3 linked regions of the Arabidopsis thaliana genome follow. The protein of the gene in region 3 interacts with the protein of the main gene of each other region in a pairwise test. Each region holds a gene or a part of one and is shown on either strand. Other genes may lie near its edges. The genes, in order: MBD3, SEP4 and WLIM2a.

What was found.
Region 1: the proteins of WLIM2a (region 3) and MBD3 interact in a two-hybrid assay, tested with the Arabidopsis thaliana proteins (one large-scale study listed by BioGRID).
Region 2: the proteins of WLIM2a (region 3) and SEP4 interact in a two-hybrid assay, tested with the Arabidopsis thaliana proteins (one large-scale study listed by BioGRID).

Annotation. Positions count from the first base shown.
Region 1 is NC_003075.7:177,186-180,108, reverse strand, and holds MBD3 (methyl-CPG-binding domain 3), read right to left. Parts: upstream 1,088-2,923; coding exon 596-1,087; downstream 1-595. UniProt on the Arabidopsis thaliana protein: Probable transcriptional regulator.
Region 2 is NC_003071.7:1,127,484-1,132,358, forward strand, and holds SEP4 (K-box region and MADS-box transcription factor family protein), read left to right. Parts: upstream 1-1,784; 5' UTR 1,785-2,138; coding exon 2,139-2,323; intron 2,324-3,091; coding exon 3,092-3,173; intron 3,174-3,241; coding exon 3,242-3,303; intron 3,304-3,374; coding exon 3,375-3,474; intron 3,475-3,554; coding exon 3,555-3,596; intron 3,597-3,666; coding exon 3,667-3,708; coding exon of another isoform or gene 3,709-3,759; exon of another isoform or gene 3,760-3,784; coding exon 3,785-3,957; intron 3,958-4,054; coding exon 4,055-4,145; 3' UTR 4,146-4,355; downstream 4,356-4,875. Other genes in the region: MRH6 (Adenine nucleotide alpha hydrolases-like superfamily protein), read left to right, coding at 4,680-4,875. UniProt on the Arabidopsis thaliana protein: Probable transcription factor that binds specifically to the CArG box DNA sequence 5'-CC (A/T)6 GG-3'. Plays an important role in the determination of flower meristem identity. Involved in the specification of sepal identity.
Region 3 is NC_003071.7:16,656,852-16,661,055, reverse strand, and holds WLIM2a (GATA type zinc finger transcription factor family protein), read right to left. Parts: upstream 2,589-4,204; 5' UTR 2,227-2,588; intron 1,977-2,226; 5' UTR 1,921-1,976; coding exon 1,786-1,920; intron 1,642-1,785; coding exon 1,542-1,641; intron 1,451-1,541; coding exon 1,413-1,450; intron 1,329-1,412; coding exon 1,239-1,328; intron 1,029-1,238; coding exon 789-1,028; 3' UTR 613-788; downstream 1-612. Other genes in the region: AT2G39910 (ARM repeat superfamily protein), read right to left, coding at 1-283, 376-452; PROT1 (proline transporter 1), read right to left, coding at 2,854-3,231, 3,316-3,531, 3,676-3,800, 3,895-4,084, 4,166-4,204. UniProt on the Arabidopsis thaliana protein: Binds to actin filaments and promotes cross-linking into thick bundles. Has an actin-stabilizing activity. The actin regulatory activities are not regulated by pH and [Ca(2+)].

The sequences.
Region 1 (2,923 bases), on a different chromosome or scaffold from region 3:
CAGTCTTCTCATAGCTCGTTCTTAAAGAGAAGGATTCGCATATTGAAGTATTTATGAATCTGTTGCTATCACAAGGAGAAAGAGACCTTCGATATTGTTGCTTCAAAGAGAAGGAATTTCAGAGAATGATCAAAAGCTATGATTTGCAAAGATCTCAAGGTTGATTAAATCATTGTGTTAAAAGGGCCTCAAGAACGTCACTGTATCAGTTAGTGTGAGATAGCTACAAGGAAAGCTACCAGAATGGTCTAAGACTGTCAAAATATCAGAAGTGCAAAGATAAATCAAAGGTTGAGTTGTTCAAAGATGGACTTTCAGAAGCTTTGAATTCTAAGAAGCGTGTATGATTCAAAGTTTGCTGCTAGTAATTTAGGTAGCAGTTTGTTCAGAGAGAAGGAGATTACTAGGCAGATTACTCAAGTACATGATAAAAGATATGATAAAAGAGGAAATAAATTGCTTAAACTGGGAAAACATAAAGCATCAAATGTTCAACGACAAAAACCAAAAGAAATCAAAGACAAAAACCAAAAGTTCAAAAGAGAAGAGATAAAGAGAAGCGATGAATGATCCTGATAAGTGATAGCAGACAAAACTAAGCATCTCTCGAGACACCATCTTCCTCAGTGTTCCTTGAGCTAGAATGACTATCGACAGGTTTCTTTTTTAGTTTCAGCCGTTTGGGTGCGGCAAAAGAAACCTCTTCAAGCGTCATGTCTTTAAATTCTTCCTTGTCTTCAATAAACGTTGCAACTTCCTTTATAGATTTAAACCTCTTTCGTCTAGGAGCCAATGATTCATAGTAAACATCGACTTTCACGCAGTTTGTTCTCACGACCAAAACTCTCTTCAAACCTTGAGGGGTTTTGGGTATACTATGTTCATCCTGAAACCAACGCATAGTAAGGGAATCAAAGTTCATTACCATATCTCCAGGTTCTTCACATCTCTTGCATTCAAAAAACTTTTCCAGTGTTTTACTACGAATCTCTTCATAATCTTCTTGTGACTCTATAGATCTCACTTTAAGACACTTCCAACATTGTGCAGCGTATGAGTCAATTAACGTGGTTTTCACTACACACATAAAACCAAACAAAGACTAAGATAAAAATAAAACATTGTCGATACCTTGTGAGATGCAATGATAAAAAACGAATCTTCATGTAATGATAAAAATAAAACACCATATTTCAAGTTTTGGGATCTTCATGCATTGACAAAACAAATCTTCATGCAATAATAAAAATAAAATATTGTCGATACCTTGTGAGATGTAGCTTGAGTAGTCTTCCTCACCATATTTCAAGTTTTGAGAGAGATAAAAATATTTTTTTGGGAGTTTAGCCTTTTAGTTGAAGTGAAGAAGAACTAAATATATCCTTTAGATTCGTAAAGTGAAGTGAAGAAGGAATGAAATCTTTACTGCAATAGCATTTAAGTTGGCTTTTAAGCCTTATAAGAAGTATCTAATCAAGTACTATTATAACCAGAACTCGAAGAGATAGTAGCTTGCGGTGATTCGAAAAGTCGGAGCCATTAATTTTGATTTTGCATGTACTTTCTCCAAGGAGAGGAAAAACAATGCTTTGAAAATTGTATTAACGTAAATTTGGACGCTTGAGATACATGTAGGTTAGGGCTAGCCTTACATCAGTAGGACAGGCGTTTTAGTTCCTTCAACCCTAGATAATATTAAAAGTTCCAATTCTTAAAAAAACTTTAATATGCAGCCCAATAGAATCCTATAGCGTCAGTGACCACTTCATTTGGTGTCAACCAATTAAAAACTGATCAGTTATAGAAATATTAAACTAGTGATAATGCGCATTTTGAATGTAAGACAAGCATACATATAAAAGTTTTATGAGTTATTTAAATTATTCAATTTTGGTTTAAGATTTTAAATGATGTGGACATATATAAGAAGGCAAAACCATATACTGTACTGTATTATATAATCCATTCTTCGTAACATTTGGTCTGTTCTTGGCTCGGAAATTGTCTCTGACCAGAGCAGTGTTCTACATGATTATGCAATGTCTCGGAGCCATCTGTGGTGCCATCTTTAAGACTAGTGAATATCGGCGCATCTTTAAGCCTAGTGAATTTCGGCCCATCTTCAAGACTAGTATGGAGGCCTGTTAAGGGTCTTCTAATACAGCTCAACATGCCTTTTTGTGTAAGCCTAGTGAATTTCTAATACACTTTGTCTCTGGTCAAACACTTTCATGCGTTTTTTTTATAAATATGTTTAATGAGCATAAATGTGCGGCTCAAAGCGGTGCAACTCCCAACGGTCAAATAAACAAATTAAGCTCAACTGCTCAAGTAGTGAGAACAAGATCAACCTAACTTGCACAACGAAGAATTTTTGTTGTTGTTGTGGTCATATATATTTTTACACTAACTAATTATTTTGACAAAAGTAATCAATTTGTGACATTCTACAAAAAAAAATATAAAAATAATCGAATATAATTTTTTTATTGGTCAAAATATCGATTGCAAAATACAAAAATCAAGGCATAACAAGTTAATCTATAAATTATAGTCGTGTTTTAAAATTAAGTCGTGTGTTTTGCGGTTTTGTCCTCGATTTTGTTCCTTCCTTTGTGTCGAATTAGTCCTACATTTTATAGAGAGGTCTTCTTGACCCTAATCCACGTGGGATTTTGACTCGAGCCACCGCCTCTATTGAAATGATAAGATCGTTTCTAGAATGAGGTTACGGCCCGTATTGGTCCGGTTCTTGTCGGTTTTGGCTAACACTGATCTTTCATAAAGCTTTCTAGAATATCCTTTATTATTTTCCCTATTTTGATGGGTTAAGAAATTTAACAGAGTTTATTCAATATCATCTCCAAGATTTAAATTATTCCCAACAGTAATGCAATTAAAATCTAATATCAACTATATATTG
Region 2 (4,875 bases), about 16 Mb from region 3:
TATATAATTTTATCAGAGATCATTTCTAAACTAGACATTTTAAAGTTGTGTATTATCTACCTAAATTATCCATATAAAAGATGGAATAGCACATTGCAAGTATTATATCGTATTTATTCTTTTTAGATGTTTCCTAAAGCATCAATCTATATGTTGCATGTTGTAAGGTCACAACTTGGAACCATAAAAGAATGGTGGAGGATAGCAAGTGCGTAGAAGATAAGGATCATTTTACATGATAATCTGGATAAGACATGCGCATATACATCAAGTTTCCATCAACAAGATTTATAGTACCCAAAAGAAAGAAAGAAAAAAACTAATATTCCATCGATCTATAGAAGTTGAACAAAATAACTAAGGTACCAAGTGAAATATGAGTCAGCAAGCAAAGTTAAAAAAAAAGTTGTGTGAGACATATCACATGAGTAAATTAACAACAACCATCATCATCATGATGTAGATAGTATAAGATGCCATGAGAAGAAGTGAGGAAAAACAAATTAACCTGACAAGAAGCATCCTAAAAAATTAACCTGTCAAACAATTACCAACCTTTAAAGTGAAAAAAAAAGTTGAAAACACTAAGGCTTTGAGAGCTTAAATGTTCATAAACAATTTTCCTTTTTCTTGCCAAGATCAATCTGCAATTTTTGTGTCAAGCATGTACGAGTTATTGTTATAAATAAATCTAGAGTCGTTATGTGAGTTCTACTGTATTTTATGAAAATCGATTAACTAGTAAAATACATCAGTCTTCTTAAGAAGAGAACCTAAACACGAAACCCTCTAATAAATGCTAGATTGCATATTCTTACACATCTATATTAGTGTCAAAAACATGATTGGACTGATTTTATAGTATTGAACAAGAACGTGACTAAATTTTCAGAAATTGGAAAGAAAACAAAAACATGATATATTTCAATATCTAAATTTCACCATATATATATAAAAAGACATAGTGCATGTGAGACGTAAAAACCTTTGTAAATAAATTTTCTCTTTAAATAGTAAATAGTACCATATCAGATTAACCATTTCAGAGTGACATAATTTGTTTGTAACCGTATAGATCCGTTTTATGCATTAAAACGATCGTGAAGTAGCTGTCATACGAAAGAACTTGTCGGCAAGAGAAGCAAAGCATAAGCAGAAAAAAACATATCTTTTAGAAGCCTATCATTTTCTTACTTTTATTCACAAACACACACAATATACATTATAAGTGTTATCTACATAATCTAAACGTGTCAATACCTGAAAAAACAACAAAACTTTATTTGCACTTCTTTCATTTCATGAACAATACATAACCAGATATTAGATAGGACTTGGACTTGTGAATATGCTCTATTTAAGGCATCTTTATAGGTTATATTTAGAATCTTTTTCTTATTTCTTTTTTGAGCATATTATTAAACTATGGACTAGATCTGATGAAAGAAAGCAATCTATTTATATATTATGGTGTAAATATTATCTTTAAAAAATCCAATGGAGGAGAGTGAAAGAGAAAAGTTGAAGCATTTTGTTTGGACTATAGAGAGAGAGAAAAAAAGATCTTAACTCTCCTTAGAAAAGTACTAGGAATCAATTTTTATTTTCTGCAAAAACAAAAGTGTAAAAGAAAATTAATAATAATATATATTCCCTGATGAAGTAAGACTAAAATAATGTAACTACACAAAAATACTTTTTAGAATTTATAATATTTTATATTAATTTTTAAAAAAGGAAAGTTGATAAGATTGGATATAAGTTTGGAAGCATTTATTTGGCCAAGAATGGCTTAGCATCTCTGCAAAACCAACACAAAGCTATATTCTCTTAAAAATCAGTTCAACAAAAGAAGAACCTGAACACAGTTGGCCCACCACCACCACTACCACAATCTCCTCCTCCACCACCACCACCTAGTCACCGGAAACCAATTCATGCCCTAGATTAAGAACCAGAATCCTTTTGAGACAAGATCTATATATACACTCTACACATTTACTTATACACTTTATCTAGATATAGATGTGTGTGTGTATAAAGGTTCTTTTTCATTACTTGTTGGTTTAGTGATAAAAAGGAGGAGAGTTTTCAGTTGGGTTTTGGTTTCTTGGTGAGAGAAGAGAGAAAAAGAGAGGATGGGAAGAGGGAAAGTTGAGCTGAAGAGGATAGAGAACAAGATCAATAGACAAGTTACTTTTGCAAAGAGAAGAAATGGTTTGCTCAAGAAGGCTTATGAGCTTTCTGTCCTTTGTGATGCTGAGATTGCTCTTCTCATTTTCTCTAACCGTGGCAAGCTCTACGAATTCTGCAGCAGCCCTAGGTGAAAACTCTTTAATCTTTGATATATCTACTTTTTCCCTCAAAGTTTCTATATTTTGATCCATGTTAGGGTTTTGATTCTTAAGGATTATAAAGGATATGAAAACTTTGTTGTCTTTCTTGATTTAGTTACAATTAATTAGTTGATTAACTACGGTTTATTTATTTTGTGAGTTCATACGCATAAATCTGGCTCGTAAAGAGTGAGATTAAGTGAACGATGATCAAAGTACGTACAAAGCGTCTAAGTTGCTCTAGATGATGATTAAAGCTAGAGAGTAGAGACTATGGCTGAAAAAAGTACAGTAGATATGTGTAGAAGCTATAGAGCATATATAAATATAGTTAAAGCTTTTACACATGAGATTGAGTGTTGTTGATATTGTTTCCAAAGGATTGATCAGAGTTTCCAAAGAGACTAAGAATTGACCTCTGGATATATACACAAAGCTGTAAAAGATATAAAAAATACTTTGACTACTTCTTTAAGTTAGTATCTCTCTCAAGTACTACTTATGATCTTATTAAAGTTATAAAGAGACAACTGTGATGATACTCAATTTCACTAGCTACTTATCATTTCCACATAAATTTATTTTATTTTTCTTGCACAAACATCATGAGATTGATACCCATTTTGATGTTCTTGATGTTTTTACATGGAGATGCTTTTAAGGTTTTTTTTCTATATTATTCTCATAATGAAATTTAAAGTTTGGTTTATCAATATATGTTAAAAGTTAAAATGATCATTTGTTTTTATGAAAAGTGGTATGGCGAGGACGGTTGATAAGTATAGAAAACATAGTTATGCAACAATGGATCCAAATCAATCAGCTAAAGACTTGCAGGTACATATCTTCTCTTTCAATCAAAGACTGACCTCAAAGTTGTCCTTAATTTTATTTTAAATTGGCAGGATAAGTATCAAGACTACTTGAAGCTTAAATCAAGAGTTGAGATCCTTCAACATTCACAAAGGTACTTATATATCCTAGTCCATCTAAATGTAACTATATATGCTCTTGTTACTAAATGTTTCTTCTTTTTAGGCATTTGCTAGGTGAAGAGCTATCCGAGATGGATGTGAATGAGCTTGAGCATCTCGAACGCCAAGTAGATGCATCACTAAGACAAATAAGATCTACCAAGGTATATTTCTAAGCTTACAAAATCGACAAATTTTGTTTCGAATCTTTCATCCTAAATCGTTGTTTCGTTTTCATTGCCAGGCTCGGTCTATGCTTGATCAACTATCTGACCTCAAAACTAAGGTACATACTTTATATAATAAAAGTTGCACAATATCCAAATACAACAAGCTCTCATTTTCTCAATTTACAGGAGGAAATGTTATTGGAAACCAATAGAGATCTTAGGAGAAAGGTAGCTATCGGAATCTTTTACCGCAAGAAACTGAAACCATTTGTCATTTGAAATCTTCCTATTCTTTCTTTCTCAGTTGGAGGACAGTGATGCAGCACTTACTCAATCGTTTTGGGGAAGTTCTGCTGCAGAACAACAACAACAACATCAACAACAGCAACAAGGCATGAGCTCTTATCAATCAAACCCTCCAATTCAGGAAGCAGGTTTCTTCAAGCCTCTACAAGGCAATGTAGCATTGCAAATGAGGTATCTACAAACAAATAGTCAAGACCCTTGAATTATTTTACCTAATCAGAAATACTTAACATTTGTTTGTGCTTCTTTATTGTTTTGATATAATTAGCAGTCATTACAATCACAATCCTGCAAATGCAACCAACTCTGCAACAACATCACAGAATGTTAATGGATTCTTCCCTGGATGGATGGTCTGAAAACAATACATATCTATATATGTACACATATGTGTGTTTTATAGATCAAAGATCATTGCTTGTGTCATTTGATTTTTGCCAGAGAAACATAGTTCATTATTACAAAACTTTGTTATATAATCAAGGCTCTAATGTCAAACACCAGATTATTACTTTTTTGTTCTTTGTTTTTTGGCTCTCTTGAAATATAAAATATTGTTTTGGGAGCTTATTTTTGTTTTATTTTTGAACATCATATGAATTTGTTAGATTATGACAAAAGTTCTCCGGATTAGAACATGTCTCAAGAATTGGATTCTGAAACAAGTAGTGCTCTGCATTTGTATTAAGATTGTGATGTTGATAATTAAAACGACTAAATAATTTTTGCCAGGTTGGATTATAATGAACAAGTCCAAAATGTTATTTTAATTTTATTTTCATGGCAAGCACGTTCAAGAAATGGCTCCAACCAAAAACCAAACAAACATAACAGTATTTAAAACACAACTAAAACCTCAAAGAACAGAGAGAAGAAAAACAAGAATTAAGAAAATGGGGAAACCAGCAGGGTATTGGGTAAATAAGATTAGGACATCATTCAAAGGAGGATCATCGTCGAGCAAATCATTAGATGAAGGAAGTACTTCGGGTTCGAGAAAGAACGGTTCGAAGCATAGTAAGAATCTGAAAGCAGAGGATGCTAATAAGAATGGTGAAGGAGGAGGAGTTCAAGCTGAGAGTGGGAGGA
Region 3 (4,204 bases):
AGAAAAATCACTGAAACAATCCCTTGAAATCTCCCAAAATGTAGATTCCCCCATGACAGAGAGGTTTTCTGGAATCCATGAGAGAAGTTCGTGAGTGGATGAACGTGAAGAAGCGAGAAGGGCACAAGCAAGCGCGAGACTTTTGATCGATTCTTCATTGGCGAGACGAGAAGACGAAGTGTTTGGTAACAAGGACAAGAGTATATCTTTGGTGGATACTTTGCTGCTCTCTTGCGGTGTGTACTGTGTACGTCTAAGAATCTCTGCTATTGGTTCTGATAATCTGAATCCTCAAAACAAATCAAAATTAGGGTTCTTCAAGAAAAAAGCACTTAAAGGCCAAAAAAACAGAGGCCAGAGAGAGATGTCACTCACCGGAGAAGACGGCCATGAAGATCAGAGCTTGTGCTCAACATTTTTCGAAATTGACAATTTTCTTTTGTAAAGTTCATATCTTTACACAATTCAATTTGGGTTTTGTGTTTTCTTAATTGATTTCTGTTTAACTGGATTTTTAACTTTAGTGAAGAACCGGACCGGAGATGACTAACGACGAGTAACGATAGAGATTTGTCCGGTCTAACATTCCGGTTCGGTCCAGCTCAAAAGACCAAGATCAAAGCCAAAAGTCCTCGGTTATTATAGATGTAGTAGTATCACAAACAAGAAACTCAGAGAAAACTGGGAGAATTTTATGCCTGGTTCAATTATGGAAGACAAAGAACATGAATCATATCGAATACATGTAAACAACACAGCACATACACAAAAATAAAGAGAATTTGAATTCAAGATTCGGGAACGGCTGCTACAGCTGCAGCAGCTGCGGTAGCAGCAGCAGTAGCGCGTTTGATGGAAGCAGATTTGATGAGATGATTGTAACTTCCTTTCTCCTTGAAAAGCTGAGCGAAATGGTGCTTGCAGTACAATATTCCCTCTAGAGCTGCATAGTTCGATGGAGATATCGGACAGCCTCCATGAGAACACTTGAAGCAAGATTTATGGTAACACTGGCTTTCCACAGTTACCTACAATTTTTAGAAAACAGAACAATGAGATATAAGAATTGACTGTATTAAAGAGATCTCAACTTTATGTGATTCGGATCCATGTAACTCATATTGCAAATGATCCAAATAAGTTTAACTGTGATTTTCTTGACAACAATCACAGAGAGAACACAAAAGTGTATTGGAAAGCAATGGTAATGACATATACAAGCTTAAATGTATACTAACCTTTTCGATAGGATACACGGTTTTAGTGCAAGTAGCGCATTTGTCTTGCGTTCCAGAGAACATACCAGCAAGTCGACTAGGTGTCCTATTCTGAGAACAACCAAGAAGAGAAATAGAGTCATGTATCTCAAGTCGTGTAACTAAATAAAAACATCGTTGTTAAGAAGCGTTTACCAGCTCCGGGGTTGGCTTATCAGTCAATGGCTTTGCAGCTGTGAAAGGAAAAAAAAAGTTTGAAGATTAAAATTAAAGTGACCACATGTAAAAGCTGGACCAGAAGGTGAAGAAAAGAGTTTTACATACGTGACTGAAAGTTCTTGCTGAAACTACCAGACTCCTTGAAAAGCTGCTCAAAATGAGGCCTACAATACACCACTCCTTCCATTGATGAATAATTGCTCAGCTGTTCAGAAACCATCAACACGTTTTAACTTTATCACTTTAACGAAGACCAATTCAGATCAAGTATCTCTCTAGCTAAATATCTAAATGAAACTCTCAAAACACTAATAACTACATTTAGGAAAGGCAAAAGAGGAAAACTGACTTGAAGTCTGCTTTTGCAGTGAGAGCATTTGAAGCAAGCCTTGTGATAAGAGATTCCATCAGCTGAGAGAAGCTCCACAGGGTACACTGTCTTCTCGCACGCCCTGCATTTCTGCTGAGTTCCTGTAAACGACATCGTTTTTGAGATCTTCTTTCTACCTCCAAAGATCTCTCAGCTCAAACCTTCTTCCTCTGTAACAACAACATTTCAAAACCCAACAACACAAAGAGGTTTAACAAAAAAAACTACATTAACACATTCTTGACTTTTCACATTAGCCATTTGCATCAGTTCAAACAAATCAATCCATGGATCCATAACCACATATTTTGATTCAATCAGTACACAAAAATCGAATCTTTTTCTACAAGCATTGCAAAAAAAAATCTGATTTTTAACAGAATAAAATCGTTAAGAACTAACAAACGGCAAAATGGTTACCTCTTCGTCGATCTGATCAAATGAGATATCAAAAAAAGAAACCCAAAATTGAGAAGAGAGAAATGCAGGTTGAAATTGGAGCTGAGAATAAAAAGAGAGAATCAAAGAAGTCGCTGCGTGAAGATGAAGATGAAGAAGAAAGGTAATGATTACGGAGCACGATTGATAAAAAATATCTAACGCTTTCGTTTTTTTTTTTTTATCTAGAGCTTTGGTGGAGACAGTGGGGTTCCACTTTGGCCTGTCTAAATTATTGTTATAATTTCAAATTAAACAGCTAATCATTGAAAGATTAGGTTTTTGTTAAACCAACAACAATTCTGTTTCTTCTCTTCTCTATCTCACTAAATTAAGGTTTTTTTAAGTTAGGTGTTTTTATGTTCTTCTCTAATACTATGATTTACATTTCTAATAGAGACTTTAATCATGCAACTTAGTATTCTTTGTTGGTAAATTTTCAGAATGATTATGATGAAAGTGGTCTTTTATATGCTTTTTAGATTTTAGAACTTGATTTATTTATTTAGGCTCTAATGGTAAGACAAATAGAGAGAGAATACAAGCTTACAGGAGAAATAAACCTGCCTAAGAATAAAGGATACACAATTGACTATATAATATAATGAATTACAAATCTGCAAAAACATGGAAATTTTTGGAATCAACGGCGATGAGTCTGACAGCTGCAATGGCTGCAGCAACAGACATCAAACTAAAGAAGACAACGTTAAGCCAATGCCATAGCTTTTGCATAGCATTCAGCTTATTGTTCTTTGCCTTATAGTACATGTGGTTGGCTAGAATGAATGTGAGAGGGAATGTGCTCACTGCACCAGTTAGGCTCATGAAGTCACCGAGGAACGGCAACAGCGCTGAGATAAGCGTGCTTACCGCTATGTACCCGCCTCTCGCCATGATCCTAAACAGCAGGTTCTTTATCGCAAATGGGTTTCCTTTGATCCCATACTTTGTGTCCATGTACTCATATGTTGGACTCGCAAATATCTACAACAAAGAATTGAGTCAGACATATAGTTAGAGACGACAGTCTTTGTTAAAAAAGCGTAGACTTGGCGCTAAGAAACTTACGTGCAAAGAGATAACAGATTGAAGGATAGCAGAGACGTTAGCAAGGGCTTTGACCCAGAGTGGGCCATTAACACTGTTTAGTAGATAGGTCGAGGTTGAGGATCCATAAGCCCAATATCCGATGAATGTAACTGCGTACATCGGTAAAACACCCGCTGTGAATTGAAAGTATAGAGCCTTCATCATGTTTTTAACAACTGGTTGCCTCACTGTTGCCTAACATTGTGGAAATTATAGTGTCAATATGATTAACAAACAAACTTTGTTTAAGATGCAGGTTTTACTTGAACAAAAGGTACACTAATACATAAAAGCAAACACAAACAAACAATTGAACTTTGAAGTCTAGGGAAAAGTCACCTGAATTTCTGGAAGCATCCCGGTGTTGAATGCGAAAACCAGATTTGCGGCTGCTCCTGTGATGGTAAAAAGTTTGCTCAATGATGATCCTTGTATCTCGTAATCTCTTGAAGGTGTTTTTACTCCTAGAAACAAACAAAACAAAGCAAGAATTAGATTTTTGCAGTAGTTAAACTCATTAGTAATGTTGAATCTTGATGATCATTTGATTAGTTATACCATCTCTAACCGATAGCACGATTGCCACAACAATATAGATGAGACTGAGGAAGGTCGAAACTCCAAGCCAGACCCCAAGAGCCGATAAATGAGGAATCCCAATAGCGAAAATCGCACAAATCAAACCAGCAATGGCTATAAAATGAGGTAGTTTCATGGTATGATCATCCCTGAAAAGCACATAAACAGCCTGCAGAAACAGAACACACAACCAAAATTAACTAACTCGTCTAACGAAATCAAGAATCAAGAGAAGAAAATGTTTTACTACCTTTAAGGCGGAACCAGCTAGGATAATGAATCCACAATT